Linked DNA regions of Drosophila melanogaster. The gene in region 1 interacts genetically with each later gene. Each region holds a gene or a part of one and is shown in the gene's direction. Other genes may lie near its edges.

The links.
Region 2: of Ask1 (region 1) and p38b, changing one suppresses a phenotype caused by changing the other (phenotypic suppression), as found in Drosophila melanogaster (one study listed by BioGRID).
Region 3: of Ask1 (region 1) and p38c, changing one suppresses a phenotype caused by changing the other (phenotypic suppression), as found in Drosophila melanogaster (one study listed by BioGRID).
Region 4: of Ask1 (region 1) and Ddc, changing one suppresses a phenotype caused by changing the other (phenotypic suppression), as found in Drosophila melanogaster (one study listed by BioGRID).

The regions. Positions count from the first base shown.
Region 1 is NT_033777.3:19,875,105-19,885,731, forward strand, and holds the start of Ask1 (apoptotic signal-regulating kinase 1), read left to right. Parts: upstream 1-4,614; 5' UTR 4,615-4,819; coding exon 4,820-4,939; intron 4,940-5,011; coding exon 5,012-5,206; exon of another isoform or gene 5,207-5,778; coding exon 5,779-5,957; intron 5,958-6,379; coding exon 6,380-7,277; intron 7,278-7,333; coding exon 7,334-7,672; intron 7,673-7,738; coding exon 7,739-8,541; intron 8,542-8,604; coding exon 8,605-8,751; intron 8,752-9,091; coding exon 9,092-9,991; intron 9,992-10,051; coding exon 10,052-10,324; intron 10,325-10,389; coding exon 10,390-10,627. Other genes in the region: CG17186 (uncharacterized protein), read right to left, coding at 1,109-2,178, 2,238-2,313; Arc42 (Activator-recruited cofactor subunit 42), read left to right, coding at 2,774-2,807, 2,895-3,104, 3,173-4,146.
Region 2 is NT_033779.5:13,777,994-13,784,735, forward strand, and holds p38b (p38b MAP kinase), read left to right. Parts: upstream 1-2,695; 5' UTR 2,696-2,771; intron 2,772-2,873; 5' UTR 2,874-3,006; coding exon 3,007-4,104; 3' UTR 4,105-4,616; downstream 4,617-6,742. Other genes in the region: CG9008 (uncharacterized protein), read right to left, coding at 1,652-1,739; CG16890 (uncharacterized protein), read right to left, coding at 4,617-4,952, 5,004-5,444; Eato (engulfment ABC transporter in the ovary), read left to right, coding at 6,177-6,359, 6,478-6,601.
Region 3 is NT_033777.3:24,147,119-24,153,409, reverse strand, and holds p38c (p38c MAP kinase), read left to right. Parts: upstream 1-3,206; 5' UTR 3,207-3,227; coding exon 3,228-4,298; 3' UTR 4,299-4,390; downstream 4,391-6,291. Other genes in the region: CG6178 (uncharacterized protein), read right to left, coding at 1-313; p38a MAP kinase, read left to right, coding at 1,708-2,808; Slimp (Seryl-tRNA synthetase-like insect mitochondrial protein), read left to right, coding at 4,509-5,903; Kal1 (kallmann syndrome 1), read right to left, coding at 6,038-6,214. UniProt on the Drosophila melanogaster protein: Kinase involved in a signal transduction pathway.
Region 4 is NT_033779.5:19,114,862-19,123,616, reverse strand, and holds Ddc (dopa decarboxylase), read left to right. Parts: upstream 1-3,310; 5' UTR 3,311-3,507; exon of another isoform or gene 3,508-4,142; 5' UTR 4,143-4,199; coding exon 4,200-4,298; exon of another isoform or gene 4,299-4,375; coding exon 4,376-4,461; intron 4,462-5,488; coding exon 5,489-6,836; 3' UTR 6,837-7,134; downstream 7,135-8,755. Other genes in the region: Phb1 (prohibitin 1), read left to right, coding at 65-496, 800-1,198; CG10561 (uncharacterized protein), read right to left, coding at 7,205-8,711.

The DNA.
Region 1 (10,627 bases):
AGTCACTAGCTTTCCACACGCGTCACTTTTTAGAAATGGGAAAATCCTAGAGGCGAAGACTCACGGTACTTTTACACCTGACGGATCTGGCGGCAGCTTCTCGTTAAAACTTAATGGGCTCGCCGTGAATGAACGGCCCTTTATATAGGCGCCTGGATGAACACCCACGCACACCAGTGCACGCGGCATTATCGAGAGATCGCCAAAGAGAGAGAGAGAGAGTGAGCGAGCGTTATCACATCTCACCTCTTTTGTTTATATTTACACTGGGAGCACTTGCACTTTGTTTTTACCTGTCTTTCGTGGGCGCAGCGGGGGCGGTGGATGCCGAAAAGGAACAACGAAAAACTCCAAAAAGTGGGGGCAAATCAATAGGACAACAAACGGGACTCCTACTGTGGTGCTCTTTTCCTTCTCAGTGCTGATGAATGTGAACGTGTCCTTCCCCTCCCGCAGGACACACGGAAATAATTGTGCGCTGTGTTAAATGTCGTGTGCTGATTTTACAAAGTTGTGCAGTGAAAAACATAAAAACGTTAAACAAGTTCCAGTGCGTGCGCGTCGAATCTGCGCAGAGATGAAAAGCGGGCTGTCAAAACCAGAATGGAAAACTGCCAGATGTACAGTGGCGCGCAAAAGTATTCGCACTCGCACGCGATTGTGCCTGCCGTCATTGGTGACTATTGAAACTATTCTGTTTCAATACTCTCTCCATGGAAGCTTGAAATTATTATTATTATTATTATATTATAAAAATTGGTATAAGCCATTTTTAACGGTAAAAATTGGTAGTGTTGTGCAGCATCAAAACTTCGACAAAATTCCAAAGATACTCACTCACACATAACATTAATAATACTCAAAATTTTCAAATTTCAAAATCAATATTCTTTATTCGTAGTAACAACGAATAAACAATCTTTTCATAGCTTTTCAATTCTTTACATTTAAAATATTTCTTAATTCAAGAATTTTGGCTTATCAAGAGTCAAAAACTTTTATACAGTTCATTAATATCTAAAGTTTGGTTATTGCATTGATTGTAATTTAACAATTCGTTGGCTTTCGATGTAATTAAAAGTACCAAAGAGTCGAGAAATTAACAAATCTATGCATTGTCCAGCGCGATGAAGTAGGAAATATCCTCCGGACTGTCTTCGGTGGTCAGGTACACGATCTCCTCGTAAACGTTTTCTTCGGCAGTTGTATATTCTATCATTTCAAAGCCGGGATCTATTTGAACCACCTCGTCGATCTCCACTAGATTGATCTCTTCCAGTCCGTTTTGCTTATCTATATCCTGTATATCCTCCACAACATCTGGCTCTTCCATAACATCCATATCAAGCTCCTCCACAAAATTTCTCTCCTCTCTGTGATCAATCTCCTCCAGCTCATTTTCCGCTTCCAAGTATTCTACTGGCTCAAGAGCTTCAGTTTCCTCCAGACCATCAAGGTCAGCTTGAATCTTGGCCAGATGCCTTGCCGATCGCATGTGCCGAACGAAGCAGAATCTCCTGGCCGTTCTGTATTCGCAGGGCTTGCACTCCAGGGTGCACCTGCACTCCTTCTTGTAGGCGAGGTATTCGTCCTCGGTCTCCCCAGACTCCCCAGATAGCTCCACCATCTGTTCCTGCTCCTGGGGCAGATACTGTATGTATTCATTAGCCTCCAGCTGGCTTTGCACGACCTCGATGTTCGCCTGGCTTTTTGCTTGCATCTCGAATTGAGATTTTCGAGTGGTGCTGTAGTCACACGGCGTGCACGTGGTCAGGATGTCTTCCGTGTATCGTGTTTTCTCCGCATCCGCGGGCGCTGGCTCCTCTACTCTTTTTATGCGTTTTACCGCCGGTTCCGCCCTCTCGGCCTCGTCCATCAGCTTCTCGCACTCCTCCTGCTCCTTCATTATGTGGCGCCTCGACTCCTTGTGCCGGTCGAAGCAATACCGTTTGGCGGTCTTGTAGCCGCAGACGTTGCACGAGAACAGTGACGATTCCACCTCAGACTCGGAGTCAGAGCAGGACTCCAGCAGCATGTGCTTTTGCGACCGCCTGTGGCGCCTCAAGTCTCTTCTCCGGTCCGTGGAGTAAGTGCAGCCGTTTATGTTGCAAGTCAGTCGCTTTATCTTCACCGCCTTGACTTGCTCCTCCTTTCTGGGCGCTTGTTTTAGGTGCAAGTCTGTAAAAAGCGAAATCAATCGTAGTTCAGCCGGCATTTAGGTATTCATTGGTACTCACATTCCATTTCGTCCTCGTAGATGAAATCTAGAGCCTCTATCGTCAGTGTTTCCGTTCTCTGGCATGTCTGCGACATATTTCCCTCGTTTGGTCTGCGTTCTTTTAATAATAACTAAACAAATCAACAATTATTTGATGGTACCAACATTATTTAGCTTGAAAATGTAGAATGCACGCGAGAATTTACGAATTTGGGAATTTAGTATTTTTCAGGCGGCATGTTGGATCTTATTTCCGTGCACCTTAGGAATTATGTTTATTTCATTTTAAAAGTACCCATCAGTGTTTTCGTATGAGTGAAAAGTTAGTAATTTTTAATTTTAATTTTAAATTAGTAACAAGACGACTTGTTAAATTCGGGACAAGAGTCACCCTGTGATGAACCACTTGTTACATGCAGATGCAGCCGGTGACCTCCTCTGGTCACACTGTCCATTTTTAATTTTTTGTAATAGTAGAGTTTTTTTTATAACATTTTATCCGTCTTTTATGCAATATATTTAATTATTATTAGTAAGAGGCAATCCCACACAAACATGCAATCAGTACTCACCCGCTCGTTATGCATTGGTAAGACAAACTGATGTGTGGACTTTGAGCCCCAGCCATTTAAATGTTTTCTATAAGCAAGATCCTAAACCAGATATTGATATTCAGCCCGCAGATCTTTAAATGCTCGTCAAATTGCCTCATTGTCGGCGCTTTCGGAGACGCACCAGATGCTGCAGAAGTCCTGCCGGGACTTTGCCAACAATGAGCTCAGTGGAAACGCAGCCAAGTTCGATCGGGAGCACCTGTATCCAGAGAAACAGATCCGCCAGATGGGCGAACTGGGCGTGATGGCAGTAGCGATTCCCGAGGAGCTGGGTAATTAATATTACGCCCACCTCAGCCCTCCTTATAGTATCTCATTGTATCTCTTTATTGTTAATCAGGCGGCACTGGACTGGATTATGTGGCCTACGCCATTGCCATGGAGGAAATCTCAAGGGGCTGTGCCTCTGCTGGCGTCATCATGTCGGTGAACAACTCCCTGTATCTGGGACCGCTTCTCTCTTTCGGAAACGATGCCCAGAAGAAGGACTACATCACACCGTTTACCACCGGCGAACGAGTGGGCTGCTTCGCGCTCTCTGAACCTGGAAACGGATCCGATGCTGGAGCTGCTTCCACCATAGCAACCGACAAGGGAGATCACTTCGTGCTGAATGGCACCAAGGCCTGGATCACAAATGCCTTCGAGGCGGAGGCAGCCATTGTGTTCGCCACCACCAACAAGCAGCTGAAGCACAAGGGCATCTCCGCATTCATTGTGCCCAAGGCTACCAAGGGCTTCTCGCTGGGCAAAAAGGAGGATAAGCTGGGCATCCGGGGATCTTCGACGTGCCAGCTAATTTTCGAGGACTGCGTGGTGCCCAAGGAGAACATGCTGGGCGAGCCGGGTTTCGGTTTCAAGATTGCCATGCAGACGCTGGACGCCGGCCGCATAGGAATCGCTGGCCAGGCGCTGGGCATTGGTCAGGCTGCCCTCGAATTGGCCGTGGACTACGCCCAGAAGCGACAGGCCTTCGGCAAGCCCATTGCCAAGCTCCAGTCCATCCAGCAAAAGATCGCGGACATGTCGTTGGCCATGGAGTCGGCACGTCTGCTCACCTGGCGCGCCGCCTGGCTGAAGGACCAAAAGCAGCCCTACACCAAAGAAGCTGCAATGGCCAAGCTGGCTGCCTCGGAGGCGGCCACCTTGTGCTCCCACCAGTGTATCCAGATCCTGGGCGGAATGGGCTACGTGACCGACATGGCGGCCGAGCGTCATTACAGGGACGCCCGCATCACTGAGATCTACGAGGGCACCTCCGAAATCCAGCGACTGGTGATCGCGGGCTCCATTCTAAAGGAATATGCTAGTTAAGATCAAAGTTATATATCCGTACTACTTGTGTCTCGTTTAATAAAGAACGTTTTTAATATACTATTTTGCTAGTTCTATTGAGTTGTATAATTGTTTATAATAGATAGAAATACATGAAAAAAACACCTACAACATTTTAATTCTTTAGAAAAAGTTAGCAAAACAATAAATCTTCGTTCAAAAAGTAAAGTAAAATAAGTGAAACTCTTGACTACTTTTTAGACGTTGCATATTTGTAAATTAATTAAAATAATGAACCTTAAGTGCTTTTAAAATATATTTATAAACAAAGCTTATTATTTTATATGCCTAATTATATTATATCTTTTAAACCAAATTTTAAATGACTCAAAAAAATGGGAACTTGGCGCCAAAACTGCAGCAAGGCTTTGTCGGTTAGCATATTTGTGTGGTATTTTTGTGACTTCATTCGGTATATTGCTGGTAGCTGTGCAGCGGTCACACAGCAAAAGCAAAAAGTTTCTTTATTTATTTGATAATTATTCGTTACGCGGTAATTAACGCGATGCAAGTGCAGCAGGAACGTGGTAATGAGAGTTTTTGCCACTGAGCTGCGCGTGTCGGCCGTCCAGAAAGTGCAGAAATCGCGTGAAGTGCGCGAAATCCGTCCAAGAGCAGAAAAGTGCCAAGAATAGCTGCGATGGAAACAGCGATGGATGTGGTGTGTGTAATGGATACGGCGGTGGGCGACCATCTGGAGGACCGCCAGTGTGCGCTGGAGGAGATCAAGCAGGCAGTGCAGTCGGCGGGCGCCAACTTTCAGCGGGTTCAGGTGCGCCAGCTTGGTTATACAATGGCATATGGGTGATTTGACTTACATCCCCCCCACTTGGCATCCTTGCAGTTCGAGCGCCTGGACTTCGGCGAGACGAATGTGCTGGAGACGTTTTACAACGCCGATGTGGCCATTATCGACCTGAGCATTCTCACCCAGCAGCGGCCGCTTTCCTATCACTACGGCGTTAGGGAGAGCTTCGGGATGAAGGAGAACATCCTCACCTACAACGACATCGATTCCAAGCAGACGCTCAGTCTCAAGGTGCGTTCGGAAGTGTTTACCTGGCCGGGCGTGCCTGGCAAACATCTGCGTTCGTGATCGGGAATCCGCTTCCGATAAGATAAATGCTATGACCAGCAACTGCGTGGACTCCTGGACTAGTTGTTCTTGCTGATCTTTCTACAGTCGAGCTTCCACAACGCGAACTGAGTTTATAACAAGTCTCTAACCTAGGTGCTTAGACACCTCTTTCTGGAAAATGACTAAAAATTATTCTATCTACTAGTCTTCCTTTAGCAAATTGCAAAAGAAACCGAAAAACTTCCTCTTTCCAGAGGTTAATAACTAAAACCTCTTTCCCATATGGCAGCCAATAATTTGAACTATGGAAGTTCGACTGTATTTCCGTCGAATCGTTTTCGTTATTTTTGTTTTGGCTGCGGCCATAAAGCAACAAAAGCATTGGCCCAGCAATAACAATAACAAATGCGAGCACGCCCACGCAAACACTCAAAGAGGCACGCACACACTAACAGCACGGTGTACACCAACGCAGCGTGGCCTGCATTCACAGTGGCGGTCATTAAATTAGGTACACTCTACTCCCCTTGCAGCTCTCGTGTGCCAACTACCTGTTTCTCAGCTACAAGCGGAATGCGGAGACCAATTCCTGCCACCTGACCAGCCAGCCCAACAGCGGCAACAACAGCAAGGAACCCAATGCCGAAGGACGAGTGCCCACTTTGCAGTGGCGCCTCAAGCGAAAGCTGCAAGATGTTGAGATCCAGTCGAAGTGAGTACAATCTAGGGAGTCCCCTTTTGCAGTAAGTCATGCACGGTGATTGCATATCGGAACACTATTTATAACATCCCCTGCGGCAGATTGGCTGCAAAAGTCACGCCCTGCATCTAAAATGAATCAGACCGATTTATTGTGTTGGCCTTGGAATTGCATATAAAATATCAATAATCGCTGAAAATTCTTAAGTCTCTTTATAGTATCATAATTGTCCTTTCAATTTAAATTACTTCGAACTTTAGTGATACTACTACGGGTTAACAAGTAATGAAATGAAAGTAATTGAAATCTTAAATTTGGTGTACCAGATAGATGCTAAGTTAATTAGTCTTTCAGCCAGAGCACGAAACACTGTTCCTATTATGCATTATTTGTGTACCTAAAAACTAAACGAAGCTATTTTCGGTTATTTACAGAGCCCACATGCGTGAGAAATTTCTGAGTGACATGCGAACGGCGCGGGACACGTACGCCACCAACGGCGCCAAGCTGCAGAGTATATTGCACGAGATGCGAAAGCGGCTGGACGATCCGCATGTCCTGTCTGGCGAAGTGGTACACAGTTTCATGTGCTCGCTGAGGGATGTGCAGGACTACGATGCCATGGTGCGACTGGTCAATGACCTGAAGAACATACCCAACACCCGGAAGTACGTGGAGACGGGCAACATGAGTTTCCTGTACGCCTTCGCCCTGAACCGAAGAAATCGAAAGGGAGACCGTGAAAAGGCTCTGGAATCTTCGCTGAAGGCGCTGGAAAAGAAGGAGAACCACTTTCCGGACATGCTCTGCCTGTGCGGCCGCATCTACAAGGACATCTTTGTGGAATCCGACTACACGGACGCCACCAGTTTGGCGCACGCCATCAAGTGGTACCGCCAAAGCTTTGAGGTGCAGCCGAATGAGTATGCAGGCATCAATCTGGCTACTCTGCTGGTTATCGAGGGCAAGGAGTTTACCAATACGGAGGAGTTGCAGCACATCGGCATGACCTTAAACAATTTAATCGGTAAAAAGGGCAGCCTATCCTCGCTGAGTGAGTATTGGGATGTGGCCACCTTCTTTGAGATCTCCGTTTTGGCCAACGACTACGCCAAGGCGATTCAAGCTGCCGAGTGCATGTTCAAGCTAAAGCCACCCAACTGGTATCTGAAGTCGACCATCGGAAATATCTCTCTTATACATCGATTTCGAAAGAAGCCCGAGGAACGCCAGCCGCCCATCGAGGAGCAGGTGTTCCAGTTCTGGATGGACTTCTTTCTGGAGGCCACCAACACCGAGGAGGTTAAGAACAGCATTCGCTTTCCGATTCTGGTTGGTACCCCTGATCTGCAGTTTAAGCTTTATTATTAACTCAAAACAAATTCCAGATCCTCGAGCCTCAGAAGATTTATATGCCCAGTTATGTGACTATAAACATGGATGCGGATGAGAAGTCCATTCAGATTGTGAACATCTGTTTGGCTCACGCAAAGAATGCGTGTAAGAAAATCCACGACTTCCTTTTCGTGGCATCGAAGATCAAGTCCGTCAGCCTTTACAAGAGGGATGATCGTTGTGCCTACTTGTACGTCCATCACAACTCAGATGATTTTCAAATATATTTTCCCTCCACTGAACGACGACAAAAGTTCTACGATATGATCCTGGAGATGACTGCAGATCAGGTGGTGTTTGTCAATCTCAGCAATGATGACGCTAATATCGAGGTAAGTTATTTATTATTCATATATACATATATTCCGGCCACTTTTGCTAATTATTATTAATTGTAGTACGAGTACGACTACGATGAGCAGAATCGCAAAATGGTGCTGGGCAAAGGTACTTATGGCACCGTGTACGCCGCCAGGGACAAGCAGACGCAGGTGCGAATCGCCATTAAGGAGGTGCCGGAAAAGAACTCGCAGGATGTGCAGCCACTGCACGAGGAGATTAAGTTACACTCTCAGCTGCGACATCGCAACATAGTTCGCTATTTGGGATCGTGCTCGGAGAACGGCTTCTTCAAGATCTTCATGGAGCAGGTGCCGGGAGGATCGCTTTCCGACCTCTTAGAGACCAAATGGGGTCCGCTCAAGGACAACGAGTCCACCATGGCCTTCTACTCCAAGCAGATCCTCGAGGGGCTGAAGTACCTTCACGAGCAGGACATTGTTCATCGCGATATAAAGGGTGACAACGTGCTGGTTAACACGTATAGCGGCGTGGTTAAGATCTCCGATTTCGGCACCTCCAAGCGGCTGGCCCGCATCAACCCGATGACGGAGACCTTTACGGGCACCTTGCAGTACATGGCGCCGGAGGTGATTGACCAGGGAGTACGCGGCTATGGCCCGGCGGCTGACATCTGGTCCTTTGGATGCACAAACGTTGAGATGGCTACGGGCAAACCACCGTTTATCGAGCTGGGTAGCGCCCATGCGGCCATGTTCAAGGTGGGCTTTTACAAGAAGCATCCGAACATACCCGAGGAGCTGTCCGCCAACGCAAAGAACTTTATTTTGCGTTGCTTTGCCATCAGCGTGATGGACCGACCCTCCGCCTCGCAACTTCTGGAAGATCCCTTCCTACAAGAGTGAGTTTGCTTAATTGTTTTGCCTAATTCCTTTCTAATTGCACTTTTAATTTTCTCAATAAGTAAACCCCGCAAGGTGCGCCCAGCCCTGCCCATCAATACTGAGTTCGGACGCAGCATTTCGGTGCCGGCTGATCGGTTTGTGCACAAAACCACACCGCCGCTGAGCTACAACACAACCTGCAATACGCCCACAACGCCGGAATTGGAGTAAGTTAAACGCTGCGACTATTCTTATCATGTTCGACCTTCCTCAATTACAAGCAGAGGTTATCTTATCTGTTGAAAATTATCATTTATATTTTGCTAATTTTAATGAATATAAAAATTTTTCCGTGCTTCTCTATATTTTCCCATATCGTCTACTATTATAAGAGTAACAAGTGCCTTTGCTTATCGTGTAGTTAACACATTGATTGTTGCTATCAGTAAAGTGCATATTTAATGATTGGAAAATGCGCACTCGGATTTTGATACTGAGAAGAGATAGCACTTGATGTATTGTAAAATAAACGTAATTTTATATTGTACTTTCTGTTTCCTATTTCAGCATAACGCATTCATCCTCGGTGGACATTGACGAGCTGCCCAGCAACCAGTTTATGCTTGAACGGCGAAATTCCCATGGATTTTTGCTCTCGCCAGAGATTGAACCTTCCACGCCGTCCTTGCGTACGAGCATTAGTGAGACGAGCGAGACTGACGGTTTTTACAGGCTTAAAAAGGATTCGCAGAGGCGGACAACGCTTTCCAAGGTGCTGGCACTAGACGAATCCAAGATCTGCGATATTTGGCTGAAGAAGGTCGACGCTGATCAGAACTCGATTGCGATTAGGAAAAGCGATTTGGAGGTTCTAATCCGAGGACTGCGGGACTACATTATGAACGAAAACGAAAAGCATTTGGAAGCGACTATCAACGAACTGAAACAAAAGCTGAACAACGACGCAGTTGCTCTGGACCATCTTCATTTGGCGCTGTACTCCTTTCAGGACGCCGTGGTCTGCGTACTGCGGTACCATTGCATCAAACCCCATTGGATGTTCGCATTGGATAATCTGGTTAAGCGGGCCGTCCAGGCGGCGGTCACTATTTTCTCTCCTGAACTGGGCGCCAATCTGGCGGACAAAGACCTGTCTGGAAATGATGATGAGAGCTTGCGTACAAGTCTAATGCAGAAGGGTTCCACCGAGAGCCAGGAAAAGCAGAGCCTGGAAAAAGTTCTTCCCACGAGCAACACTCGCGAAGGTGTGGGATTAACGCCTGCGGAATCGGGCGGGGATGCTCTGTCCAGTTCGATGGAGTGCGCGCGCATCCTGAGAGACATCCGTGACAATCAGCAGAAGCTGCAACGCCAGCTCCTTGAGCAGCAGCGGCAGAGCATGAGGGCCCTGCATAATATCAGTCAGGAGCTGGCTCACATTTACATGGGCGGCAGAAAGAGATTAAGGTTGGTAAACCAAGTAGGACATTGTAAATTTTATTATAATTCACAATTTCATCTTAACAGACGCACAATAAACGGCTTTAACAAAAAGTGCCATAGAATGAGTACCAGTGTGGGCGGAACGTCCGGAGTCCGTCCGAATATAGCGGGCAATCCCCGGAGGCAGCTAAACAAGCATCACTTTGGTCTTCACGAAGTAGACGAGCAGTTGGAGCAGTGGTTGACCCAGCAGGAAATAGACGAGTTCTCAAAGACGCTCATCCTGAATGAAGGTTTTACATTTGACGACTTTATCTATAACATGGAAAAGCTGGACCTCATGAGGCTGGGTCTGCGGTGCGTTAAAGCTTATAAGAAAAGTACACTTAATCCATGCTCAACTAACTTTTGGTATTTTGCAGCGTTGGCATCGAAGTGCGTTTGTGGAAACTCATTATACAAGAACGTGTGTGCACCTCGTCCGATTGTGTGGACAGTCCACCAAGCACTTACCACAAACCCATTGGAGGCAATAGCTCTTTTGCGCTTATTGACAACAACAATACGCTACCATCACCCACAACCACAACTCCCGGAACGCCGGGCATCAAAACGAAAATCAAGAAAAGCGAAAGCGAGTACGATTCGTGCAGCGAGTGA
Region 2 (6,742 bases), on another chromosome or scaffold:
TATTAACTATGCCCCCAGTAAATCGAGTTCAATTCAAGCTTTCAGCGGAACTTAACTAGTTTTCAGTTTTGTACAATCGTACTATGATATAGTAAAGTTAAGAACTAGAAATAAATGTAATATAACTATGTATTAATAACTAACTATTAATAAACACTTATTTAATCTCATTTTATTGCATTGTCGTTGAAATTAGTTTCAGTAACATCGGAACTTGTGAATCAATGAATGAATTCGAAGCTGGATCAACTGTGGGAATTGCACAACAACAACCTAAAAAGCAAAGTACATGACGCACACACTTCTAACCCACATGGCTAACACATACAAACACACACACATACGCGCACACTTGCACGCACACAATCGCAGAGTAAGTAACTGGCCTGTAAGTAAACTAACTGGCTGAGACCGAATCTCTGGTACAGTTAAAGACTGGGATATGGGTTGGTTTTGGTTACGCTACGGGTATGGATCTCTGGGCATGACGATGGCCTACGGCCAATGGGTGGGTGAGCACTTGGCTGCGTGGGAGGAGCTGCTGCTATTCCCCAAAATCTCGCTCAGTTGGCCCCAATGTGCGATGGGCTTTCGACAGGCCGTAGCCACTGCTCTGGCACCTTGATTATTATGATTGGAAACACTTTGGTGTCGAGTTTAGTTAAAGCTCCTCCGAAAACTAATAATTAACATTGTTCGAATTACATGTGATAAGATACACTGAAAGGAAAACAATGCATCAGTTTAAGTATATATCTTAGTTTTTCACAGGCCATTTAATTGAAGAGGAAGAGTAAGTGGAACACGAAAAATAATCATATACATGGGATCATATAAATATCTTTAAGAAAATCATTGCAAGTGAATTTAGTAAAGATCTTTAATCCTTAATGCCTTAGCCACTGAAACTCTTTCCGATAAGAAACTATGAAGATCTCAAGAATTTCCATTAGATATATATGTAGTTATTTCTTCCGGTGTACGATATGCTGTCTGTTCCAAACGCTGTTGTGTCTCTGGCCGTCTGACTGTTGCTCAAACGGCTGCGACTTGGAAAGCAACGTGGGCAGCCCAGACACAGGCAGTCGTAATTGTTGAAAGTACGCTGGGTACACCAGTGCCAGCTCACATACATACATATGTACATAGGTGCTCATAGAGAGGGACCTGTATACATATATGTACGAACCATATACATATATATGACGCCTAATCGAAATGTGCTGCGAGTAGGAGCCGCATCGATCCGATCTCCAAGATCCAAACTCCAAGCTCTAAGCTTTTCCAAAACCGAAACCCAACTGATCCCCAGCGATTGGATCGAGTGGGGGCATATATGTACATATAGCGCCTAAATTGCGACGATCTCGGCTGATAAGATAGCAAAGGCCCTCTGGCTGGTGCGTAGAACAGCGAAAGGTAAAAACAAGGTTATTTCCAGAACGAATTGATAACCTCCAGAGGTCGCGAATACATCGAGAATAGGGGGCGAAACGGGTTTCGGTTTCGGAAGAGTCTAAGCGCCAATCATCCGCTAAAAATAACGCCAACAAAATTTTGGCAAAGTGCTGGTGGTGTCTTCTTAATTATGATTAATTGTTCGCCAGCTATTCATTTGTTGTTTATCATTGTTTCAAGACATTCTGCTCACCGTGCAAGTTGATGGTGCAGGTTGTATTGTTTCCGCGATCCAGAACAACTACACTCGTTGCGGCCATTGCGGCCGCTGTCGTGGCCATTTTGAATTTTCCTAACGGTAAAGGTATATCCGGGGGATCGTTTGAGATCCTGTGTATGTTTGTGTGCGTGCCTGCCTACTGAGGGAGTATATCTTTGAAAAATTGGGTACGAAAAGAAACTGTAGCTCCGTGGCACTTAAAGCAAGGCGATCTGGTTTCGTACTCAAAACGGGCGTCGATTGAACTTTAATTTGCGCATTTACATAATGTTTGCAAAAATTATTCTGCACACAAAGCACCGCACTCACACAGACGCGCCAGCACACACACACTCACTCGCACACACACATACACACGCACGCACAGAGCGCAGCTTGAGTTTTTGTCAATGAACAAATACGTATGGAAAAAACTCGTGCAAAAAACGTTCGGGCGAAAAGCGTCACGACCCGGACCTTCGATGTTCTGCCAACGAGCGACCGATTGAAACTAAACCAGCTTGCGCCAACTGACCGCCTTCTGTTACCGGCCCATGTTAAGCTTTAAAATTAGCTTTATGTCCATGGTCGACGAGGGAGTACTCTACCTTAAAATTATATTTTTAACGTATAACTAAGTATTTACTGAAGTGGATGATATTACCACATTATTCACGAGTTTATGGTTTCATATAAGTTCATTTTTTGCTTTAATTAATGCATTTTTAATTTAAATATTTCTTATTCTCAAAGGTGTGATAATAAAGAATACATACATAGAACTCTCCAAATAATATTGAAAGTATTTAAATTGTAATATAATCTTAAAAACTTTAATCAAAATTGCATATAAAAATCTAATTATTATTATTGTTTGTGACGATCATGTACTCTGTCAACCAAACTGCGCAGAAGCTTTGTGAATTGATCCGCTGCCTCGATGGACTCTGATTTTTGTAGGGGACACCCTAAAGCCAACCATGTTAACGCATAAACGAGCAGCAGCTGATTGGAAATCGGACCCATTTGCGGTTATCGATAGCCAAGACAGCGTTGTTGTCCAATCAGAAAAGGTGTAGGCGCAGCGGAATAGCATAAATAAAATCCGAGAGATGTAAGTTGCAACTTATTTGTGCAGATACAAATGAATCTGGGCAGGAATACCCGAAATTAGCTACGTTTTCCCGTAATACCCGGTACGATTACTCATTTCCAGCAATGTTGAGGCCGCGAAGTGTGGAACAGAGATAACTAATCCCACAAGCAAGAAGAAGAACTGCCCAAAAAAAGAGCCAGCGGATTAATAACATTATAGCACCGCACCTGAGCGTACAGAACATCCCAACGAAATGTCGCGCAAAATGGCCAAATTCTACAAGCTGGACATCAATCGCACCGAGTGGGAAATCCCGGAAACATACCAGAACCTGCAACCCGTGGGTCAGGGTGCCTACGGCCAGGTCTGCAAGGCCGTGGTCCGCGGAACCAGCACGAAGGTGGCCATCAAGAAGCTTGCCAGGCCCTTCCAGTCGGCGGTCCATGCGAAGCGCACCTATCGGGAACTGCGGCTGCTGAAGCACATGGATCACGAGAACGTTATTGGTCTGCTGGATGTCTTTCATCCAGGACAGCCCGCCGATTCGCTGGATCAGTTCCAGCAAGTGTACATGGTGACCCACTTGATGGACGCCGATCTGAACAACATAATACGCACGCAGAAACTGTCTGATGATCATGTCCAGTTTCTGGTCTACCAAATCCTGCGCGGTCTGAAGTACATCCACAGCGCTGGGGTCATCCATCGTGATCTAAAGCCATCGAACATTGCGGTAAACGAGGACTGTGAGCTTCGCATCCTGGATTTCGGTTTGGCCCGTCCCGCAGAAAGCGAGATGACCGGATACGTCGCAACGCGATGGTACCGGGCGCCTGAGATCATGCTCAACTGGATGCACTACAACCAGACGGCGGACATCTGGTCGGTGGGCTGCATCATGGCTGAGCTGCTGACTGGGCGCACGCTGTTCCCTGGAACCGATCACATCCATCAGCTGAACCTCATCATGGAAGTGCTGGGCACGCCAGCTGATGAGTTCATGAGCCGCATCTCCTCGGAGAGCGCTAGAAACTATATTCGTTCACTGCCGGTGATGCCGCGCCGCAATTTCCGCGACATCTTCCGCGGTGCCAATCCGCTGGCCATCGATTTGCTGGAGAAGATGCTGGAACTTGACGCCGACAAGCGCATAACCGCCGAGCAGGCGCTGGCCCATCCGTACATGGAGAAGTACCACGATCCAACCGATGAGCAGACCGCCGCGCTCTACGACCAGAGCTTCGAGGAGAACGAGCTGCCGGTGGAGAAGTGGCGGGAGATGGTCTTCAGCGAGGTGACGGCCTTCAAGCCCACAGCCGCCTTCGCTGAGCTCCTGCCCAAAGAGCAGTAATCCCGGCCGCCATCCCTCTCCGTTCAATGATGCTATATACAATTAGAACAGTCTTTTCTACACCTAGTTCAAGCGGATGCGCTCAGTCGTGATTTCTCTACTCGTCGAGTGTAAACAATCGGGGATATTTATTCTAGAGCGATTTATATTTAGAAACTCTTCAGTGGCTGGATTTCAACAATTTGTTTTGACCACAAACGTAAGGTGAAATAGTATTGTATTTTCGAACCTTCGATTTGCATTCGATGGATATAGAAATAGCGATTGAACTAGGTGCATGCCTGAAATGTAGCCATTCGGAAATGTTTCCAAAAATCAATCAGAGTCACAGCCTTAATGTCCAGTTCAACTTTAGATTTGGTGTCGGTTTTAACACGCAGTTCTTGTGAATAATCCTGTAAATGTGAGTGTACATGTACATCGTAGTTCGTAAGCGAACGCATCTAGCGGCCAGTAACTATAAAAAAGAGCACTAGTGTCTACGTTGAATCCAAATAAATGTGCTATGTATTTTAAAAAATGAGATCCTCTAGATATCGCTCGAATTCCTGCTCTCTGGAGGCTTGCTCTCGGCTTATATCGGGTTGTTGTTGCCAGATCTGTTCGTCTGCCGTGGTGGCATCCTTTGAGTCTGTGGGCTCCTTGCTGGCTTCTGGATGGGATTCGGATGCTGGTTCGACAGGCTCCTCCTCCTCTTCGCCAGAACTTTCGTGACCAACATCGAGTTTTCGACGCTTACGTTTCTTTTCAGCGCGCCGTTCCTCCTTTTCCCTGCGTCTCCGCTTCTTGCATTCTCTCTTCTTGGTGCGGTAGTTCAGCTGATCCGTGTGGGTGGGACACAGCCGCACCTATGGAATTCCCATTAGTGACACAATCGCGGAAACCCATTTGGAACCCACCTTGACCAGCGCATTTAGGGGCTCACCCTTTTCGATATACCTAAAGTTTACCTCCCAGCTGCGCAGATTATCCCGCTCCCCGCAATGCCGGCTGCCGCACTGGAACTGCCCGGTTCCGGTGACCACCTCCTGCTCCGTTCGCCAGCGCAGCGCTATCTTGTTCTCCTTGTAGCGGGACAGGTCCGCGATGCAGTACTCCTTAAATAGCTTCCTGTAGTATCGCAGGGCCAAGCGCTGCTCCCAGCTTAGGGTGTCGCTATCCAACTCGTCGTCCTCCCACAGGAAGCGGTGATTCTCTCGGATTACATCGATGTCTCGCTTGTGCCGACGTGATTCCGTCTCATTCGGTAGGTTAAGCACGTAATTACTAAGTATATAGTTGTGTCGCTCCTTGGCACTCAGGTTGTTCAGATTCACTGGGAATAATTGCGAGCCGCTCATTATGATAAAAAATTTATAATAAACAGACTTCGATTTCAGGGCACTGCCTATCGATATATCGAAGACTGTGGTCCTACTCTGGCTATTTTTACGCTATATATTAAACGATAAATAAAATGAAGCTGCAAAATTTAATCACAAATTGAAATTATTCCAACTGAATATAATAAATAAATTTTAATATATATTATTGTTATTAACCAAAATAAAATGGCTATAACAAGTTTAGAAGAATGGCCCGTAATGGCGAAACTGCATGGTATTAATCTTAGCCAATACATATACTGTTTACACACTGTGGAATAAGTTAAATTTCTTACTTTAAAGGTACAAATTAAGAGTTCTTTGCTTAATTAAATGCAACTTTTTATGAAATATAATTAAACAATATTTATTTTACTTATAAATCAAAAAAACAAATTAAAAATGTGAAATATACAAGAAAATAAAAAACAAATTCCAAGTTTACACACTTTTTAAAATTATTTTATGACCCCCATTGGCTTTGGCTACGAGTAGACTGTACACTTATCAGTAAACAATAATTATTTGTAGCGTTCCTCCGTTTTTTACTACAAGTCCAATGTTATTGAATTCATTCCCACAGTGACTCAAGTCTCAGGAGCGGGTGCGGTTCCCATTTCGATAAGTATTACTATCGACGTTGATAGAGAAAAAATGCCATTCAACAAAGCAAAGTAAAATTAGGGAAAAGTTGATGTTAAACAGAAAATGGCTGGGACTTTTACCCCGCTGTTCTTCGTCTTTCTGCGGAAGAATTTGCTCTACTTGCAACGCAACTTGCTGCCCCTGCTCCTTATCTGCTCCGGATTTGCCGGAGTACTCACCGCGTACCTCCACTGGTCCGTCAAGCCCGTGCTTCACCAAATTAACCAGTTTGAAGCAAAGAATGAAGTAAGTTTCCCTCGCACTGCTACTTTATCTGCTTTTTATATTTGTACATACGTATGCATGTGATAACAAACCTGTGACCACACTAATCCTTATCATTGGACTTCAATTTATTTATTAGATGGTTCTTAGAGAATTGTACTTTCCCGGTAATGAGCTGGATTACATTTACTACTCACCCATCTCTCCCAATGTAGAGGACATTATGGATCTCCTGCGTGTAGATCTGGGAATTATACCAGAGCGTAAGTGCATTTCCAAATTATCTCATAAATTAGATATGTGGAAAAGTTTGTATGGTAAACGTAAACGTTTCCGACCATATAAAGCTTATATGTACTTTTGATAACGATCATACAAAATAACATACAAAATTCACTGCATAT
Region 3 (6,291 bases), 4.3 Mb from region 1:
CAACCGTAGCCCCAACTGCTAGACCAGCGAACATGGCCAGGGCGAAGTTGACGCTGTTTTCGCTAGACAAACCAACGACGTCATTCTGTTTGACTCCCAGTTTTTGAAGGATGTATGCCAGCCGTACAATGGACTTGTGCATGAAACTGGCAGAGTACTCCACTCCATTGACGGCATCCACCAGCACCGTCCGGTCGCCAAAGCTCTTGTACTTGTCGAGGATGTACTGACCCAAGGATCTGCTATCCTGGGCCTGTCGTTCAGTCACAGGACCTCCGTACACAATGTTTCCGGGCAGTAGCTTTGAAGTCATTTTGTGTCTGCAAAGAGAAAGAAACATGATAGTTTTGCATTTTATGATGAGCTATAATGGAAGATAACGAACTGTGGGTTATCTACCAAAAATTATACACGCCTTTGGGGAGTGTGAAGTTTTCCTCGAAAATATTAAAAGAAAAACGGTTCAGGGGTTGAAGTTATAGCAACCCTTCAAACCATACTTTGAACCCCCCGGACTATCTAATCGCATTCGGTTCGCAGATCTTTTACTTGTGCTGAACATGCCATCGATGTTAACAATGTTCCCGCTATCTGAGATAGTGGACTACAGAAAATCTGCATGTTTGCCAGTCCAGGTTCCAAAGGTCGCAGTTCACAGCGGTTGAAGTGGCTTCTTCCAGCTCCCCTGCGGTCTAACATTTAGGCTTTCAAGCGAACACTCGTTAAACCATGTAATGTTTATCTTTTATACCGCTAATATATTCAGTATCATTCAGATAAACTCGTCAATTTACTTATGTACATACGCTAAAGTTTTCTAGGTTACGATGCGAGCGGGAGCGGCTTGCGTGCGAAACTAACTGTTCGTCGGAGAATGGTAGGGCGGAATGTCAGGCTGCGTTTACGGAACGATTAGATTAGCTTATTTGATAACCCCGGCGTTGAAACTGCGCAGGCGCGAGTAGTGTCTCTGACTATTTTTCATTCAAAGTACACCAAAAGTGCAACAAAAAATGGGTCAGGGGATGGTGCTGCTCAAATTTGCAGGAAAAACAAGAGACAGCTGATTCAAATACTTATTCGATAAATTCTTATTGAACTGTCAGCTGACGGTCTGGCAACGCCGTGTGTTTATTTTCATTTAAACGCTCTACACTCCAAATTTTACGGTATATGGGCTTTAAAAATATATTATATTACCTAATTTTTAGAATATTATTAAAAACTAACAAAATTATTTAATTTTAATCCCTTTATTCACATTTAAGGACATCGATAAGAGTGGAAAAAGAGACTTGTTACAATGCAATGATATGGTTAATATATTATTTTATTTATTTACTTATATATTAAGGATTTTTTTTAATATCGTGCCAAAAATGATTTTAACAACTTTACTCTGATCAAATGTAGCGCATTCGTGTGTCGCTTCTGATCGATCTGATCCACTGACGATCTGATTCATGAATGCCTAACACGCATCGGAATGGAGTAATAGCGCAAATATAGGAAAAATGCCAGGGACCAGTACTTAGTTGTTGATATTCTTGGGCGTGGAACAGAGGTAAGTACTACTGACGCAGAGCTGCCTCAAGATAAACGTAATCAGCATGGAATTATCGTTCGCATGGCATTTTAAGAATCAATACATATCTCGCTTATAGGCACCATTAACTAAGGTGACGACGCCCTTCCTCAAGCAATACCATGTCAGTGTCCATTACAAAAAAGTTTTACAAGTTGGATATAAATCGAACGGAATGGGAGATCCCGGATATATACCAGGATCTGCAGCCCGTGGGATCGGGAGCTTACGGACAGGTGTCAAAGGCAGTTGTTCGTGGCACCAATATGCATGTGGCCATTAAAAAGCTTGCCAGGCCTTTTCAATCAGCTGTCCATGCAAAGAGGACGTACCGGGAGCTTCGACTTTTAAAGCATATGGATCATGAGAACGTAATCGGTCTGCTGGACATATTCCATCCACATCCCGCTAATGGATCGCTGGAGAACTTCCAACAGGTGTACTTGGTTACCCACTTGATGGACGCAGATCTGAACAACATCATACGGATGCAGCACTTGTCCGACGACCACGTCCAGTTTTTAGTCTACCAGATACTCCGTGGCTTGAAGTATATCCACAGCGCCGGAGTGATCCACCGTGATCTTAAGCCCTCAAACATTGCCGTCAACGAGGATTGCGAGCTGCGCATTCTAGACTTCGGGCTGGCCCGCCCAACGGAGAACGAGATGACAGGCTATGTGGCCACGCGTTGGTACCGGGCACCTGAAATAATGCTCAATTGGATGCACTACGACCAAACAGTGGACATCTGGTCGGTGGGCTGCATCATGGCCGAACTAATTACCAGACGAACCCTCTTCCCAGGCACCGACCATATTCACCAGCTAAACCTGATTATGGAGATGTTGGGCACGCCACCCGCCGAATTTTTGAAGAAGATCTCATCGGAAAGTGCACGTTCCTACATCCAGTCACTTCCGCCTATGAAGGGACGAAGTTTTAAAAATGTTTTTAAGAACGCCAATCCGCTGGCCATTGATTTGCTGGAAAAGATGTTGGAGCTAGATGCCGAAAAGCGGATCACAGCCGAGGAGGCTCTTTCCCATCCATATCTGGAGAAGTATGCGGAGCCCAGCGTCGAGCAGACCTCACCACCATACGATCACAGCTTCGAGGATATGGATTTGCCCGTAGACAAATGGAAGGAATTGATCTACAAGGAGGTCACCAACTTTAAGCCCCCACCATCGTATGCTCAGGTTCTAAAGGATGTAAAGTGAACACAAACCATCAAGAATTTAAAGTATTACATAGGCCAATTTATTTGTTATAGCCTTTATGTTCCAACCATGTCTTTTGTACTCAAATTTATCAATTCTTAGTGTTAACTTTTTATTTTGTTTTTTTGCTGCTTACTGCTTATTTAACAAAAAATTTGTTTTATAAAAACATCAAGTTATTCAACTAAAAACCTTATTTTTGTCACCTCTTGGGCAGGATCTTTGGGTCTATAGCATATGTGTGTATCTCCGGTCATACAGATGACTGAATCGAACAAGTTTAGTGTTCTGTCAGTCGAATGTGCACTGATAGATAAGGTGTTGAGAAAAGATAAGAGTTTAGCGGGTGACTAAATGCAAGCTCAGTTTTCTTTCTGTTTCCTTTCGTAGAAGACATATTTTTGCACATTTAATCCAGAATGCCGGAGTTCGTGAGAGTGGCAATTAACGAAAGCCTTTGGGAGTTCCCGGATATATACGAGTTCGTTCGTTTTCTGGGTGGCGGTTCCTTTGGCCAGGTGGCTAAGGTGAGACTACGAGGCACTGAAAATTACTTCGCTATGAAAAGGCTTATGCGCCCATTCGAGAGGGAGGAGGATGCTAAGGGTACCTATCGCGAGATCCGTCTGCTGAAGCACATGAATCATCGAAATGTTATCAGCCTGCTGAACGTCTTCCATCCACCAGCGCACAACATGATGGAATTTCAGCAGGTTTATTTGGTGACTCACCTGATGGACGCGGATTTGCACAGGTACTCGCGTTCGAAAAGGATGAGCGATCAAGAGATTAGGATAATCCTTTACCAAATACTGCGGGGACTGAAGTACATACATAGTGCCGGGGTTGTTCATCGAGACTTAAAGCCCTGCAATATCGCAGTTAATGGAAATAGCGAGGTGCGCATACTTGACTTCGGTTTATCCCGTATGTGCGCAGACAAAATGACGGACCATGTTGGAACTATGTGGTATCTAGCTCCGGAAATTATCTTTTTAAGGGGTCAATACACAAAGGCAATTGACGTGTGGTCGGTTGGTTGCATTCTGGCGGAACTTATCACGGATCGTGTCCTGTTTCGCGGTGAAAACTATGTAAGCCAAATACGATGTCTGATTAACATAATGGGTACTCCGACGAGGGAGTTTATCACCGGGATAAGCATGGAACGTTCGCGTAATTACCTGGAGGGGTACCCGTTACGACAAAGGTGCGATTTTCATCACCTGTTTATGGGTTACGATGTCCAGGCCATCGATTTGATGGAAAAAATGCTCGAAATGGTACCCGAAAAACGTATCACAGCTGCGGAAGCAATGCTCCATCCATACCTTCGGGATCTTATTGAGCCACACCATCATGCCGAAGACACCGCACCAGTCTATGATCAGAACTTCGAAAACATGGTACTGCCTGTAAAATGCTGGAAAGAACTTGTTTCCCACGAGATTCGGAACTTCAGACCTGACCAACTTGATTTGCATTTTTAAAATGCCGTAGTTAATGTAGCAGAAGTAATAAATTTTAAATTAATTAAATGAACAAATTTTTCACAAAATTAAATTAAAAACTGGATATTCATAAATTTAAACATTGAAATCATTGAAATACCCCTATTAAATCTTCCGGATCTGGCAGCGCTGGCGACAGCTGATTTTGCCTTACCGGCTTATTTTATTTTGCATTCGATAATAAAAATAATGTTGAGCCTGCGAAGTGTATTAAAACACTGCCTTTCGGCAAAGAAAACGTGTAGCAGAAACATCTCCGCGCTGTACATAACCGGCGATAAAGCGAACGAAAACTATGTGACTCTGCAGCCGTACATGGACTTCAATAAAACCTTTGGAGAGCGGCAATTTTTGGAGCAGAGCATCTCCAGCCGGGGATTGGACATTCGTTTGGAAACTGTGCTCAGCAAGTACGAGAAGTATAAAACACATCACGCTCAGCTGTCCAAGGTGGCGGAGGAACGCGAAAGGGTGACCAAGCGCCTAAAGGAGCTAACGAAATCTGGTAGTAGTGCGGTTCAGCTGGAGGAGTTGAAAGAGCATGGGAAATCGTTGCGCAATGAGCTAAAGGCTCTGAAGCAGACTCTCTATCCCATAGAGGATGACTTTATTCATGACTATCTGCACTTGCCCAACCTTCTGCATGTCCAGTGCCCTGTTGGAGGGGAGGAAAAGCTTCTCTATCGTCATGGGATACCCAAATCAGAAAATAAGACTACATCCCACTTGGCACGCCAGGAACTTGTACATTTTGTAGACAACAATCGTTACTACTTGATGGAGCAGGCTGCTCTTTTTGACGTAAATGCCATGCAATCCCTGGCCCGCTATTTCGTCAACCACGGGCACTTCATTCAAACCGCCAATCCGGACTTTGTGCGTTGCGTTCTCCTGGAAGCAAATGCGACACCCTTATCCGACTATCATCTGGTTCAGGAAGAGCACCTGCAAAACAAGATCAATACCGCCTATTTGACTGGAGGTGCGTCCTTCGAGAGCTACCTTGGTGCCATGACCAAGCTGTGCGTGTATCCCTCGGTGCTGCCCCTTCGGTATGTCTGCTGTGGTCGGAGCTACAACAGAGCGGAAGCGGATTTGTATGGGCCCATTCCTAGTCTTTATACGGCGACACAAACGAATGCGGTACAAATCTTTGTGGCAACGCAAACGGACAACGAAGCGGACTCCCAACTAGAGCATATTCTCAATCTGGCAACTGATTTCTACAAAGCACTGGACATACCATTCAGGATTTCTTATGCAACAGCAGCAGATCTAACTCCGGCGGAGAGTATCCGGGCAGTCATCGAAGTTTATGCCCCCTCACTGCAGCGCTATGTGTGTGTGGGACGTATCAGCAACTACGGAGACTTTGTCTCTAAGCGAATCCTTTTTAGCACGCGGCGGGAGAAGCACTATGATTTCTTGCACATGGTGGGCGGACCAGTGCTCTACACCTCGCGACTGATAGCAGCTCTTGTTGAGCATGGCGTGCGCTTGGAAGACTGCAAACTTTTGGGCTCTATTAGTCAGAAACCCGTTCATCAGCAGGATCTACAGCAGTTTAAGGACCTTTTCACGTAAAAAACGATCGGTGTTTAGTTTCTTGTTGTTTGTTCTTAGGCCTAACGATAAGTAAAAGTTAAGTTTTACATACAATTATTTACAATCTAATGTAATCTCATGGTCAGCAGTGCGTTGAGCCCATACAGAGAAGGCTAGTCGCTGCACTTGATCTGCAGCTTGGGAAATCTCTTGCGGAAATTTTCACATTTAGGCGTGGTGAAGGTAAAGACATTTCTGGAGTCGTCCAACACGGAATTGGGACTGGAACGGGGAATCCTCAGCACATACGTGGTGTTGTACTTCAGTTTGCTGAACTCCAGCGGGTCTTTCTGCAATCAAAATGAATTTAATGTATCTAACATACGGCAGCATTCGCTTGTTTGATCTTTGTATTTTGGCAAACACC
Region 4 (8,755 bases), on another chromosome or scaffold:
CATTTACATATATAGTTTATAGAACAGTAACTAAATACATTACGTTTGTTTTATTCAAAGGATAATGGCTGCTCAGTTCTTTAATCGCATTGGCCAAATGGGCCTCGGAGTGGCCGTTTTGGGTGGCGTTGTCAATTCGGCATTATATAATGTGGAAGGCGGCCACCGGGCGGTCATCTTCGATCGCTTCACCGGCATCAAGGAGAACGTGGTCGGCGAGGGTACCCACTTCTTCATCCCATGGGTGCAGCGGCCCATCATCTTCGACATCCGGTCCCAGCCCCGCAACGTTCCTGTGATAACGGGCAGCAAGGATCTGCAGAATGTCAACATCACGCTCCGAATCCTGTACCGCCCCATTCCAGACCAGCTGCCCAAGATCTACACCATTCTCGGCCAGGACTACGACGAGCGTGTCCTGCCCTCCATCGCGCCTGAGGTGCTGAAGGCTGTGGTCGCCCAGTTCGACGCCGGCGAGCTGATCACCCAGCGTGAGGTGAGTAAAAACATCAGGAGAGCCCTCAGTTTCTTTAGGATAAAGCTTTTTTGATGGGCCTTGTGTTTCACCAGAGGCGCTTATGTTTACTTAGTATCAGGTCATCAGATCTCATCGTATTTCACGCGTATTTTATTTTCGATTTAAATTTGATTGTGTAAGCAAGAACGCGATCTCGGCGCTTAAGTCTAGGCTTATTGCTCTTTTGAGAATTGAAGCTTAAGAATTGGATTATTATTCAACTTATGCAGTCGGAAATATAATACTTTCATGCCCGTACTTAACGTGATTACCTCTTTGCAGATGGTGTCGCAGCGCGTTTCCCAGGAACTGACTGTACGTGCCAAGCAGTTCGGCTTTATTCTGGATGACATCTCGCTCACGCACTTGACCTTCGGTCGGGAGTTCACGCTGGCCGTCGAGATGAAGCAGGTGGCCCAGCAGGAGGCGGAGAAGGCGCGTTTTGTCGTGGAGAAGGCCGAGCAACAGAAGCTGGCGTCCATCATTTCGGCGGAGGGTGATGCCGAAGCCGCTGGCCTGTTGGCCAAGTCATTCGGCGAGGCCGGAGACGGTCTGGTGGAGCTGCGACGTATTGAGGCCGCCGAGGATATCGCCTACCAGCTATCCCGGTCCCGTGGTGTCGCCTACTTGCCCAGCGGACAGAGCACGCTGCTCAATCTGCCATCGACCATCGCGCAGTAGCTGGGTGCATCTAGTTCCGTTAAGTTGTAACTACCTATAGCATTTACTAAGTACTTTTCGATTTTGTTTCTGCTGAAATATGCACTACTCTAAAGCGTTCGCGCCCGACTGACTGGAGAATACTAAGCGAAACAACCAAAATTTGTCTCATGTAATCGGTTTTTCCATTATCTTCCCGATCGGGTTCGAAATCCGGTCGCAGTGTGCGCTCCGAATGCGGCTCAACTTTTGTTGTTTCCGTTTGAGTCGTTCGTGTGCGCGTCCTGCTGAATTGGTCCTTAAGATCGGCACCGGGCTTAAAACAACTCCAGTAATTGAAAGAAACACAGACCGTAAGAAAATTTCATTATGTGAACAAACAATAAATGATAATCCCTACATGAGTGGGCTTTTAAATTGAGTGTGGTTATGGTTATGCAGGAAATGTTATTTAATTTATGAACTTTTACTTTCTTTTTACTTTACTTTTACTTTCCCAATTAATTACAGATCGATCCTAAAACGAATCTAATCACTTGCCCATATCATATAGATTTAGACAAAATACGTGACCTATTGAAGCTCAGCGATGTGATGTGTACACCAAACACCCGCTCGCTTATCTCGGCCCTTGTTTACCCCATATGATGCCTGTTTATGCAATCCCCCTCTCAAAGGCGCCATTCGACCCCTATAAGCGGAGAATACTTTCGCATTCATTCGCAACTCAAGATGGTCATAAATCAAATTGTAGTATTCTTCGCCTCAATCGACCCGAACTCCAGCCACCCGTAAAGCAGCATAATGTGGGTGGGTAGTTGGGCGACTGGTGGCTGGTGGCTGTTGGCTGGCGTGTGGGTGGAGCACCCAGCGCATTAAAATCGAAAGCAGAGCCGTTGGCATGGCGTATAAATCTGTTGATTCAGCCAAGTGATTTGCCAAAGTGGCTTCGTTGAAATGTCAGGCACACGCACTTTGCTCGCACTCAGCAACAGTTGGACCACCCGCAGGATTCTCAGCAGCCCTACACTGAAAGAAATTATTTTCTTTTGTCGTAGGCTAAAAGTGTTTACTTGATTCTTTTAAATAGTAATTAAAGGAAGATAATGATTTTCCTGTCGTATTCCAATATCATTAGCCGAGCCGATATACCCATGTTTGTCTGTCCGTATAAACTTCGAGATTTTGGGAACTTTAAAAAAAAAAAACGGTCACGAAAACAGTTTTGAAAAATATTTTGAATTTTTGTATTATATCTCTCGATATATTTGGCATAAACATTTAAGCCACATATTTATTGTTTCTTGCCAATTTCTATTGATATTTCAACTGAATTTTGAAATTCCGGCCAAGTAACTGGCATCCAAAAGTCGTTAGCTTTCTATAGTAATTTTGAATTTTTCTCAGTGTATGCGGAACTGCCCGCTCAAAAGGCTCAACCTAGCCCACTTCCCCTAGCACAATGCGAAAGTGAGTGAGAGCATTGGATTATTTGACGTCACAATTCCATGAGCGGTTCAAAAAGCACGTCATATGTGGTGCTCTAATAACCGGTTTCCAAGATGCGCGTAAAGCGTGCCATTCCACGGCTTAATCAATTTCTTGTCTTTCCTACGAATATAACTTTGTTTACATTTTTTTGCGTGATTTTTTCTTCGGGGAGTCCAAGAAAAACCCTGTTTCGAGTGACTCATAATTGGGGGATTCCTGACGAGATCGCTCTCTTTCCACAAATTCGAGTTGGGAAGCACGTGAGTAGAATTCAAAATGTTTTGCTTGCTGTTTTAAATATCACTAGGTTCTCAAACTAATTTCAAAAATAATCAAATTAAGTTCACAGAGCTGGCAAATAAAATGTAATAGCTTGCATGTATGTATATATATATATTTTTTTAAATTCTAAATAAATCCATGGAAAATAAAGCCTTTGATATCCAGTTACTGATTCAGCGCCCAATTAATGCATGTTCCAAAAAAGTGTCAAAAAACGTGCACAAATCAAACGAGAGCTGAATTTGTTTTTACGACAGCGGCTGCGATTCGAAGTTCAGCGGCTGCGGACTGCGATTGAACCGGTCCTGCGGAATTGGCAGCGCTGCTGGACGGGCTTTAAAAGCCATGGCCAAGAGCGGGCAGCGCTCAGTTAAGAGGAGAACGCCAAGCGCACAGCAATCAGCACCGAAATATCAGCATCGAAATATCAGCAAATAAATATTAGCTGTTCTAAACCAGGAGGGCAAACTGAACTTGGAGCAAAGATTTAGTTCGGAACGGAAGTAAAGCTCGGCAACAAGTGCAAACAATTAAAAGCAGTTAACTAAAGTGCAACGGTGAGAGACGAAAGTGTGGCTCCTCAACAGCCTCAGCTGCCTGAAGTGCTTGGCCAACATAATGAGTGCATGTGCATGCGAAAGATTCATTTCGGGGCTAACGCTGCGTATACGTAATGTGTATCTAAAACTGGGCATATACTATAGCCTTGCTTCGGTTCAATTTGATAGTTCGGGCCCCGAATTCTATAGTGCTTAAGCTTTTCTCGGCTTTCGGTATCTGCATGCTTTTGTGTATCTATTAAAATAAGATTTTAGCTGGCAACAAGTCGTCGTCTCAATGCCAACTTGTTTACGTTGTTAAAATTGGAATTTAGAAAAAAAAAAAAAATAAAGCAGTCTTGATTAATGCAAGAATGCATTAAACATTCTAATTACCATACTAATTCACAGCCTATACTTAAGCAGCGCACTCGATGGGAAAACGCTTTAAACTATTAATACCTTAATACCTTATTATTATAACTATTATCATCATCGTTTTGCCTATCAAGTAATTAGTATTCAATGTCGTTCATTTGTCGTGTTTGCAGCGATAGCATTTTTTGTTTGAGCTGCTGCACTGATTAGCACTATCTTCAAAAACGCACTTCTATTAATAACACTTTCAATAATCGCACATTCTTTCATATTAGCTCTAACCATTCGAGTTCATATCATTGCAAAAGTCAAACGAAAAGTAAATCTCTGAAATGAGCCACATACCCATTAGTAACACAATTCCAACAAAACAAACTGATGGTAATGGTAAAGCTAACATTTCGCCGGATAAGCTGGATCCCAAGGTTTCGGTATGTCTATTGGGTTTAGGTATAGAGCCAACAATTATGCACGTCTGATAACCAAATACTTTTGCATCCACATCAAGATCGACATGGAGGCGCCGGAGTTCAAGGATTTTGCCAAGACAATGGTCGACTTTATAGCCGAATATCTGGAGAATATACGCGAAAGGTGAGCCAGATTAAGACTCCCTACTCAATTAGCTTGAATTAAACTTAATTTAGCGTATGAATTTCATTTATATGGTATCAGAATCAGTCGCTTGACCTCAGCATTTTACGTTCGAATCGAAAGTTCGTTCTGCTCGATTCGAATCCCCGGGCAAGTGAATGACATTTCGCACACGTTTTGAGATTAGTCACGGGAAAGTCGCACCGATCGGACATTTCCATTGCTATATATATCTATATATATATATCATTTTGTTTAGGGGGTTGAGGCGACCTTCCCATTAGCTCGAGGGCCAAGTACTTTCGCTGCTCTTGGGCCGAAAACTAATTAATTAAATGGCTTTGTTGAGTTGGCGTGTCAAGGTCGTTTTTCATGTATACGAGTATAGATATAATTGCACTGCTAACGCCTTGGCCAAAAGCAATTCGGGTATTTCACTATTCTTGGGCAATTCTTCTAACGGCTTCGTTTCCATTACCTTGAAAATCAAAGTCAGCTAAGTAAACAATTTTCTTACTACAGCTGCTGAGTTTGTTTGCCCATCGACAGTCGCTGAAATTAATGGTTAATTGAAAATCAAGCTTAAGTAGAGCGTAATATAATAATTCATTTTGCTTTATTAAAGTTCCTTCGACATTGAAGTTTCAAAACTATTTTCTTAGTTAGATAACTTTTTAAACGAATCTTTGTTAATTGAAGATACATATATATAGAGAAATTATCTTTTTATTTTCTTTTTTCACCTCTTAGTAGTACTTCCTTTTAATTGAAAGGATAGAAAATCCCACCATCATTATCAGCATTGCCTCTCTATCTATATTCTGTTCCCATAGCAATTTGCTACATATTCGTATTGATTTTCATGGCAGTGGCAACAAGTTGGGGGTGGTTGGATGGGTGTCCTTCAACCCCAATGATTCCTGATGCCTTTGTTGGCTAACTGAGTTTCGCAGCCAATTAGCAAGGAGCTTTTACTGAATGGGCGCCAAAATGCAATCAGAAGCTAACGCAATTTTCGCAATTACAGGCGCGTTCTGCCGGAAGTGAAGCCTGGCTACCTGAAGCCATTGATTCCGGATGCTGCGCCCGAGAAGCCGGAGAAGTGGCAGGATGTGATGCAGGACATCGAGCGAGTCATCATGCCGGGCGTGACACACTGGCACAGTCCCAAGTTTCATGCCTACTTCCCCACGGCCAACTCGTATCCAGCGATCGTTGCGGACATGCTGAGTGGAGCGATTGCCTGCATCGGATTCACGTGGATCGCCAGTCCCGCGTGCACGGAACTCGAGGTGGTCATGATGGATTGGCTGGGCAAGATGCTGGAGCTGCCGGCAGAGTTCCTGGCCTGTTCGGGCGGCAAGGGTGGCGGTGTCATCCAGGGCACGGCCAGTGAGTCCACACTGGTGGCTCTGCTGGGAGCCAAGGCCAAGAAGTTGAAGGAGGTGAAGGAGCTCCATCCGGAGTGGGATGAGCACACCATCTTGGGCAAGTTGGTGGGCTACTGCTCGGACCAGGCTCACTCATCCGTGGAGCGGGCTGGTCTTCTGGGCGGAGTAAAGCTCCGTTCCGTGCAGTCCGAGAATCACAGAATGCGTGGTGCTGCCCTGGAAAAGGCCATCGAACAGGATGTGGCCGAGGGTTTGATTCCCTTCTACGCGGTGGTCACCCTGGGCACCACCAACTCCTGCGCCTTCGACTACTTGGATGAGTGTGGACCGGTGGGAAACAAGCACAATTTGTGGATCCATGTGGACGCTGCCTATGCCGGATCCGCTTTCATTTGCCCCGAGTATCGCCACCTGATGAAGGGCATCGAATCAGCAGACTCTTTCAATTTCAATCCACACAAATGGATGCTGGTGAACTTTGACTGCTCGGCCATGTGGCTGAAGGATCCCAGTTGGGTGGTCAACGCGTTCAATGTGGACCCTCTTTACCTGAAGCACGACATGCAGGGATCAGCTCCGGACTATCGTCACTGGCAAATCCCACTTGGACGGCGATTCAGGGCACTGAAGCTCTGGTTCGTCCTCCGGCTGTACGGTGTCGAGAATCTCCAGGCCCACATCCGCAGACACTGCAACTTTGCCAAGCAGTTCGGGGATCTCTGCGTGGCGGACTCCAGATTTGAACTGGCCGCCGAGATCAATATGGGATTGGTCTGCTTCCGGCTGAAGGGCAGCAACGAGCGGAACGAAGCTCTTCTCAAGCGAATCAATGGACGCGGCCACATCCACTTGGTTCCCGCCAAGATCAAGGATGTCTACTTCCTGCGCATGGCCATTTGCTCGCGATTCACCCAGTCCGAGGACATGGAGTACTCGTGGAAGGAGGTCAGCGCCGCTGCCGACGAGATGGAACAGGAGCAGTAAAGTGGTTGTGCAGGTCTGTTCCGTGTTTAGTATATAAATTAATATAGTAAACTTAAATTGGACCAGTATGATATATAATGCATTGTGACTTGGAACCCGGAACAGACCATACACTTTCCACTTGCGACATGTTTAGGGAATTTACATCGCAACAAAAGATGGTTCGTCCATCGCTACATTATATTTATAGTATCCTATCATTGTATCATTGATGTTGTTCATGATTTTTATTGTTAACGTTATGCGCCTAATTAAAACAAATGTATTCTGCTTAAAAATACAAACGAATTGTAACTATAAATTTTGACTAGTTTTCGTGTTGATATACACTGTACAATTTAGCAGCCCATTCGGATTTCCCATTGCACTTAACCGCAGTGCACGCTTTTCAGATAGTAGTCAATAATGCGTTGGGCTTCTCGGATGCCACTGGACCTGGCGGCATCAATGGTTCCAAAGCCTCTCAACGAGGTTGCATCCCCAGCAAAGAGCAGACCGGGCGACTTCTCGCCCAGCGGAGCGGCCAGTCGCTGGACATCCCGGGCACTGCTGTTGGTGGAGAAGTAAGGACGACCGCCGAGGTAGCAGGCCGACGTACTCCAGTTGGAACGCAGCAGTTCCTGTGGGTACGGCACCAGGTGACTGCTCACGCAGCGCCTTAGCAGACCAGTTATCTGCTCCAGCAGCTCCTCATCGGGCAGCTTCTCGATCTCCTCGTAGTATCCGCCACCCACATGCACCTCCAGCACATGCTGACTGCTGGGCACCTGGCTGATCTCCACGACCTGCTGCGTCCAGTTGCGTTCGGGTTGCTGCTCCACGGAAGGATTCAGAAGCGTTCCCAGTGGCCGCAGGCTTCCCTTTAGCCAACGCCCAATGGGCTTCTTGTAGGAGAGATATATCTTGAGGGGATTGCCAAAGCCGAGGTTGCGTATAGCCAGCATCTTGTCCAGCGGCAGCGTGGGTCGAAACAGAACGCCCGCAAAGCTTTTGAGCACGCCCAGCGGCAGGGTGCATATTATGTGATCGGCGTTGTAAAGACTGCCATCCAGGCAACCCACACTTTTCATCGGCGCTGGTGTCCACTGTATCTGGCCCACAGGCTTTCCGGTCTGCAGCTGCGCTTTGTCCATGTTCTGAATGAGATCGTCCACTACATTATCTAGACCAGTGGGCACATACAGCGGGCGCTGTTCCTGCTGCACTGGACACTTGGTTATGTGTTCGATGTTCACGTACTCCAGGCAGCATCCCAATATGCTGCCGAACTCCTTGAACAGCGATTGGAAGATCTCGCGTGCCGCCAGTTGATCCTTAGGATGCTGGAAGGAGACGCCAATGATGCGATCGCTTTCTGTTCTAAAGTAGTTCATGACATTGTCCAGCGAGTGCAGGTCACCACCCGTTTTAACTCGTTCGGAGACCTTGAAGCCTCGGCAAAGCTGCCGAAATAGCGTGTCGATAAGCTCGACCATGGCTGGATTGATGCGGCTTCCATCCTGAAGATAGGTGGCCCGATCCGGCTGCTTTATCTGCTTCCCCAAGCCTTCCGTGTTGCGTAGCAGTTCATACATCGAATCCTGCGATCCATCGATCTTTACCCACTTGGCGCCTAGTTCACAGTAGGTGTCACCAAAGCGCTGGGTGTTAATCCTGCCGCCATAACGATCTGTGGCCTCCAGGATCACAGTGCGCCGAAAGCCGTGCGACAAGAGGTGCTGGGCCGCCGAGAGACCGGCGAGTCCTGCGCCCACGACCACTATCTGGGTATTTTGGCGCGCCGCCTCCAGATCTGGACTGCGTTGCTTGTCGCCGATGTTATCCGCCTGTAGAACCCGTGCATTGTATAAGCTGCGCCTGCTGGCCAGTTTAAAACTGCGGGGAACAAGAGAAGGTTTAGTTTGCACATTCAAATCCGC